Linked DNA regions of Sus scrofa. The protein of the gene in region 1 interacts with the protein of each later gene in a pairwise test. Links are inferred from orthologs where the notes say so. Each region holds a gene or a part of one and is shown on either strand. Other genes may lie near its edges.

What was found. The genes of interacting proteins can lie anywhere in the genome.
Region 2: the proteins of FSD2 (region 1) and PPP1R18 interact in binary tests that used the Homo sapiens proteins (3 or more experiments, as listed by UniProt). The two-hybrid records come from large-scale screens. The link is inferred for Sus scrofa from reciprocal best matches to the Homo sapiens genes FSD2 and PPP1R18.

Annotation. Positions count from the first base shown.
Region 1 is NC_010449.5:52,164,907-52,168,551, forward strand, and holds part of FSD2 (fibronectin type III and SPRY domain-containing protein 2), read left to right. Parts: intron 1-1,010; 5' UTR 1,011-1,089; coding exon 1,090-1,731; intron 1,732-2,152; coding exon 2,153-2,248; intron 2,249-3,645.
Region 2 is NC_010449.5:23,219,396-23,223,135, reverse strand, and holds the start of PPP1R18 (phostensin), read left to right. Parts: upstream 1-840; 5' UTR 841-1,054; intron 1,055-1,673; exon of another isoform or gene 1,674-1,735; intron 1,736-1,751; exon of another isoform or gene 1,752-2,000; intron 2,001-2,272; exon of another isoform or gene 2,273-2,793; 5' UTR 2,794-2,820; coding exon 2,821-3,740. Other genes in the region: NRM (nurim), read left to right, coding at 1-196.

The DNA.
Region 1 (3,645 bases):
GGCATCTACTTATTTGTAATCTTTTACTCATAAAGATGAATTATTTTCCAAATGTTTTTATACAGGTAATATTACATGCAAAAGAAATTATTTTGTGACTTGTCATTGCTCAGTAATCTATTGAGATTTCTTCTTTTCAATTAATTTATATAATTTGCTTATTAATAATTGCCTGAGACAAGCCCATTATTTGGCTTTTGGAGATTTTTAGGTTTTTTAAGTACATAGGAGTTGTTTGTTAGTGAAATCAATTTACAGATTTTTTTTTTCCGTAATTTCTCCTCTTTGACGCTTAGGAAGCCTGTCCACCCATAAAAAAAAAAACCTATTTATTTATTTATTTGTCTTTTTGCCTTTTCTAGGGCTGCTCCCTTGGCATATGGAAGTTCCCAGGCTAGGGGTCTAATCGTAGCTGTAGCTACTGGCCTCCACCACAGCCACAGCAACTCAGGATCTGAGCCACATCTGCGACCTACACCACAGCTCACGGCAACGCCGGATCCTTAACCCACTGAGCAAGGCCAGGGATCAAACCCACAACCCCACTGTTCCTAGCTGGATTCATTAACCACTGAGCCACGATGGGAACTCCTTTATTTATTTATTTATTTATTTAATTTTTGTCTTTTTTAGGGCCACACTCTCGGCATATGGAAGTTCCCAGGCTAGGGGTCGTTTCGGAGCTATAGCTGCTGGCCTACAACATAGCCACGGCAACTTGGAATCCAAGCTGCATCTGTGACCTACACTATAGCTCACAACGCCGGATCCATAACCCACTGTGCAAGGCCAGGGACTGAACCTGCGTCCTCATAGATCCTAGTCAGGTTCATTACCACTGAGCCACAACGGGAGCTTCAAAAACAAATCTTTCTTTATAGATCACTTAAAGTGAAACTACAACTAAGATGCTTGGATGATTTTTTTTTTCTAAAAAATTGTGGATGAGTTGAGCCCAATCTAATAACCATCTAGTGCACTGACCTCAGAAATGGGGTTTTCTGTTCTAGGACCCAGGATATCTATTAATAACTGTCCAAAAAGAAACCTTCCTGTGCAGAGGGGCTGCCCCGAGCATCCAGAGCCACGATGGAAGAGGAAGCAGGTGAGGCCCCGGGGCTGGGCAGGCCCGCTGCTCCTAAGGATTTCCACTTTTATCACGTGGATCTGTACGACTCTGAAGACAGACTGCAGATCTTCCCGGAAGGAAACGCTCGGATGCGAAGAGAGGTAGTCCAGGCTGAAATGACCAACGAACCAAGAGCAGCCGTGAAAGGGAAGGCTCCGAGAGACCTTGAAGAAGAAGTGGATGAACTTGTCCATCTTTACGGACTTGAAGATGATCATGAATTAGGCGATGCATTCGTTGACGAAAGCATGCCCAGAATAGAGGTTTCAGAGTATCCTCCTTATGGGATGACGGGGAGAGAAGCAGCCAGGGAGCAGAGAGACTGGAGACTTAGCGGGGAGGAGGCTAATGCAGAGGACCTGGGCTTGGGGGGCTGGGGCTCGGCGGACCAGTGCCAGGACTTGCGGGAAGCCTATAGGTATACCCATGGCCGTGCCAGTGAGGAGTATGAATGCTACGTCATCCCAGAGGAGGAAGACGAGGATGAAGCTGCGGATGTCTTCTGTGTCACCTGCAAAACACCAGTCAGAGCTTTGGAGGTTTCTGATGAACACAAGGAACATGAGGTAACCCCACTCCATAAAGCACTGGAAAGCGCCAAGGTAAATAGATCTCCTTAGTTCTTCTTGCTCTTGATATTGCATTTCTATCTCAAGGGTGTAGGGAGGATATGAATCTAAAATGCCTTCCACTGTAGTTCCCATTGTGGCTCAGGGGAAACGAATCCAACTAGAAACCATGAGGTTGCGGGTTCTATCCCTGGCCTTGCTCAGTGGGTTAAGGATCGGGCGTTGCCATGAGCTGTGGTGTAGGTCACATACATGGCTCAGATCCTTTGTTGCTGTGGCTGTGGCATATGCCAGCAGCTGTAGCTCCAATTCGACCACTAGGCTGGGAACCCTCATATGCTGTGGGTGCAGCCCTAAAAAGCAAAAAAATAAAAATAAAAATAAAATGCCTTCTACAAAAGAGAGAGAGAAAAGACAGAGCATTAATGCCTTCTTGGGATCCTTTGTTTAATAGGACGAAATTCACAAAAACATGTACAAACTGGAAAAGCAGATTATTGAGATGGAAAATTTTGCAAGTCACTTGGAGGAGGTTTTCATCACTGTGGAGGTAAGAGCACACCTGACGACGCTGTCAGACACACATGTCATTTCCATCGGGGGTGGGGTCAGCAGCTGTGTCTGGCACCAGTTAGAGAATCTGTTTTCTTGGAATGTATCGAGTCAGTACTGCCCCTCTCCCCTCACCCTTCTTTCTGCCCTCCCGTAGCATGGTGGGCGTATACCTATGGCAACATTCCCTAATGAACTGTCAGCTCTCCTGGGGAGGCTGAGTCTTCGATGTCTTTATATCCCCATTCCTGCTATAAGGTTGGACTCTTTCATGGCCAGCCTATTAAGGCATTGCAAGACACCCAGGCTGTTATGACTAAGTGTTCTTTTCCTTTCTTTACCTATTTCTTCCAAGATTAATAATGTTTCTGTGGAGTTCCCGTCATGGCGCAGTGGTTAACGAATCCGACTAGGAACCATGAGGTTGCAGGTTTGGTCCCTGCCCTTGCTCAGTGGGTTAAGGATCCAGCATTGCTGTAAACTGTGATGTAGGTTGCAGACGCGGCTTGGGTCCCGAGTTGCTGTGGCTCTGGCGTAGGCTGGCAGCTACAGCTCTGATTAGACTCCTAGCCTGGGAACTTCCATATGCCGCTGGAGTGGCCCAAGAAATAGCAAAAAGACAAAAAAAAAAAATAATAATAATAATGTTTCTGTGCTGGCACCAAACACATTCCCTGGGTGTGCCCAGGAAGTGTATACACTGCTGTGTGTGCACTGCCAGCACTCAACCTAGCCATCCAGATGGACAGACCAGGACTAAGGACCATAGGACTTCCTGTGTCCCCTCTCTTCACAGGGATGCTCTACTTCTATGAAGGCAGCCTTGGGGTGTATCAACCGGAGCACCTCACGGAGCCCTGGGCCCCTTTCCCCTGAAGCTAGACTTTCCTCCCCATCCCAACCTTCTAACTTTTTTTTGTCTTTTGTCTTTTTAGGGCCGCACCCATGGCATATGGAGGTTCCCAGGCTAGAGGTCGAATTGGAGATACAGCCCCTGGCCTATGCCACAGCCACAGCAATGCAGGATCTGAGCCGTGTCTGTTACCTGTGCCATACCTCATGGCAATGCTGGATCCTCAACCCATTGAGCAAGGCCAGGGATGGAACCCACGTCCTCATGGGTACTATTCGGGTTTGTTAACCACTGAGCCATAATGGGAACTCCCCACCCCCAATCTTAAAAGGGAGGAGAACTATTGCACTAATTCCCTATGGAAGGCAGAGGAAGGTCAAACCCTTCCATGTCTAAGCACAGGCGGATGGAGGTAGAAGGGTAAGTAGACAACTCCCTTGCTCAGTACTGCCAGCTCGCTCTCAGCTCAGAGCACCTCCACCCTCAGTGAGGACTCTGAGCTCTTCCTCGTAAACTCTACCCTGGGGGGCATCTGCTGCTTT
Region 2 (3,740 bases), about 29 Mb from region 1:
CGTGTGCGTGGAGCTGCTGACAGTGCTCTGGGTGGTGCCCACTCTGGGCACTGACCGCCTCCTTCTTGCTCTCCTCCTTACCCTCTACCTGGGCCTGGCTCACGGACTTGACCAGCAAGACCTCCGCTACCTCCGGGCCCAGCTGCAAAGAAAACTCCACCTGCTCTCCCGGCCCCAGGATGGGGAGGCTGAGTGAGAAGCTAACCCTGGTTCCAAGCCCTACACTTCCTCTCCCTCCAATTCCAAACCCCTTCTCATCCAGGACCTGTCTGCTTCAGACCAGAGACCCAAATCCAAGGACTGAAGGACCTGTCCCTTCCCCTGCTTAAGCCTCTCCTTCTTGGGTCCAGCTCTAGACCCTAAATTGAGTTTCAGCTACTGGACGCCAAGGTCCACTTCTCACCAGCCAGGAAGAGGGAGTGGGAAACTTTATCTTTCTCCTCATAGTTTAGGGCTTGACCCTCCGTTTACAACCTCCTTACAAGGAGAAGGGCCTGGCCTGACCAATCCCCTGGCCCTGTTACTCGCCTCTGCGCCTCAGGGATTCTCTTCCCACATCTTGCTCCACCTCCTAGAAGCTGGACCAAGGTCTGCAAGTTTGACAATAGAGGCTGCCCCCCACCCCCCCACCCCAGGCTCCAGGCCTTGCAGCTGCAGGCCAGCCCCACCGCCTGGCCTCTCCAGCTCCATAGGCCCTTGCCCTTGGGCTCTATCCTCGAACTTAGTTGGGCAGATTCTCCCGCTCTTAATTCAGGTGACTAAGTGCTCCCTGCTCTCCCGAGGAACTCGCGCTACAAGAAAATAAAATCCAGCCTGGTTTTTCTACATGTAGCATGCAGTCTGTCCAGTGCCTCTCAAGCTGCAGGGCTGATTCTGGGAAGGACAGGCGAGCCAAGCCCGAGTCAAGGCATCCGCCGCGCCCTCTGGCGACCGCTGGGCGGCGGCCACTCCCAAAGGACCCACCCCTCCTTCAAATCCCCCAATTTCCTCGCTGCAGATTTGGGGGCCCCGGCAGGAGACAGGTTGAAGCTGAAGAGTGGGGACAGCGGCTCGGGTAAGAAAGCGAGCTTCCGAAACCTTTGGCTTCCGAGCACAGCTCCTGCCGATGCCCCACCACCGCCACCACCACGGGCCCCCCGTAGCCCTGCGGCCGCCCCGGCCCCCACACTAACAAAGGCTGGCCGGGGAAAGCAAAAGCGTGGGGAGGAGCGGCAGGAGATGGGAAGGGCGGGCCCCGCTCAGAGCAGCTGCTGCTTCCTCCCCAAGTCCCTCGAGGGGCCTGAGTCACGGGCCGCCGCCCTGGGTCGGCGAGCTGGGGGCGGGGGGTCTGGACACCTGGGTTATCCCGGGTTACCGGGCGGGAGCCGGGTGAGAGGCCCTGGGGACAGACAGCGTAAAGGCCAGGGCTTGCGGCGGGAAAAGAGGTGTCCGGGAGCCCAATCCCACGCGGGGTCGAAGAGGGCGAGGCTCCGCCCCCTAGTCCGGCTCCGCCCCGCGCCCCCTTCGCTCTTCCCCATTGTCCTCAGACAAAGCGGTCGCCGCCCCCCGCCCGGCCCCCAGGTCTCTGTCTCCGTTCCTCCTCCTCCGCTCCCTCTTTCCCTCCTCCTCCCCCTCCCTCCTCCCCTCCCGCCTGTCTCCGGATCTCCCTCGATCCCTCTCTCCTCCTCTTCCTCTCTCCTCCTCTCTCCGGACACCAGGCTCCTCCGCACCCCCGCCCCCGGGAGCCCCGCGGCGAGTGAGTTGACGGAGGGGCTTCAGACTTGGGGAGGGTGTCTCCTCTCTCCCGTCCCTTCTCCCGTCCCCGGCCCGGACCTTGGGCTGTCTCCTCTTTGTGCCGAGATTGCCTGTCTGTGCGGCCAGAGCCGGCTGGGGATGGCCGGCTATGTCGGGGTTCCGTGAGAGCCGATACCGGGCACGGGACTGGCAGGCTCCGGAGGCGTGGAGCTGGTCCTTCGCATGCCTGGGTCCCGGGGCACCGCCGGTGCAGGAGGCAGGCGGTGGTACGGGGACCGGGTGGGGGTGGACGCCAGGGTTCTGGGAATGTGCTGGCAGGTCTGACGCCCGGGTTCCGAAAGTCCCCGGGGGAGGGTATTTCCCCTGACCCGCCTCGGGGCGGAGTGCGGGGCGGGGGGTGGGGGCTGGGGGGCCGGAGAGGCGTGGCCCGAGCGGAGCTGGAAGGGGAGCCCGGACCTCCGGGGCCCGTGCTGAGACTCGCCGGGCTGCAGCCGCGGAGCTCCCTCACCCCTCTGCCCCGATTTCCCCTTCTCCCCAGGACTCGTCCACTCTCCGCCCTCCCACCTTCCCGACACCCGTGCAGATCCCACTGCCCCCTCTCCGGCGGGATTCCCTGACCTCTCCTCCAGCTCTCAGCGCTCCTGGGTAGCGGTGAGGCAACCTTGCCTGGATCCTGTTCCCGTCACCCCCAGCCTCTCTTTTCTCTTCCTCCCTCGCGCCAACTTCTTTCGTTTTTCAGTCTTCTCACATCCTCGGGACTGTCTGATGCCCATTAACCTGTGCTGACAAATCTGACTCCTACCTCTGCCCTGAATCTCCACTCTTCCTCTCAACTCCCTCCCCCCACCCCCTCTACCTGGCTCTTAGTTCCTTCTTCGCGTTCTCAGTGTTCCCCCTTTTCTGCCCTCCCTCTTCTCCCTCTTTCCCTCTGTCCTTCCTCACTCTCAGCTCCTCTGTCCTCTTCCGAGTCCCACCTCTCCCCCCACTTCCTCTCCGCCCACCCCTATTCTCACCCCCTGGGCCTTTCTGGAGCCTCTCCTTCCTGTTCTCTGCCCCCAGCGCTCCCCCACCCTCCCCAAGTCGACCATGGCCACCATCCCGGACTGGAAGCTACAGCTGCTAGCCCGGCGCCGGCAGGAGGAGGCAGCCGTTCGTGGCCGGGAGAAGGCAGAACGGGAACGGCTGTCCCAGATGCCAGCCTGGAAGCGGGGGCTTCTGGAGCGCCGCCGAGCCAAGCTTGGTCTGTCTCCTGGGGAGCCTAGCCCTGCGCCTGGGACTACGGAGGCTGGACCTCCAGACCCAGACAAGTCTGCCGTCCTCCTGGAGGCCATTGGGCCAGTGCACCAGAACCGCTTTATTCGGCAAGAGCGCCAGCAGCAGCAGCAGCAGCGGAGTGAGGAGCTACTTGCGGAAAGACGGCCTGGGCTCTTGGAGGCCCGGGAGTGGAGATCCAGCCCTGGGGAGATGAGGGATCAGAGCCCCAAGGAAAGAGAGTCTAGAGAAGAGCGGCTCAGTCCCAGGGAGGCCAGAGAGAGGAGGCTGGGGATAGGGGGAGCTCGAGAGTCAAGCCCCAGGCCTTTGGAGTCTAGGGACTGGAGGCAGAGCCCAGGAGAGGCTGGAGACCGGAGCTCCAGGCTGTCAGAGGTGCGGAAATGGAGGCTGAGCCCTGGAGAAACTCCGGAGAGGAGTCTAAGACCTGCAGAGCCTCAAGAACAAAGCCCCAGGAGAAAAGAGGTGGTGGAAAGTAGACTGAGCCCGGCGGTCTCTGACCACGAGAAGCTGGGCCTGACAGACGCCCATAAACGGAGGCCTGACTCCGGAGAGTCTCAGGAACAGAGTCTGGTGCTGGAGGCATCAGAGTGGAGGCTGAGCTCAGGAGAAGAAAGAAAAGACTGCTTGGAGGAATGTGGGAGGAAAGAAGAGAGGACACTTCCAGGGATGGTCCCAGAAGACATTACAGGGTCGCCAGAGACCCTGACAATGGAGGCTGCAGGCAGCAGCTCTGG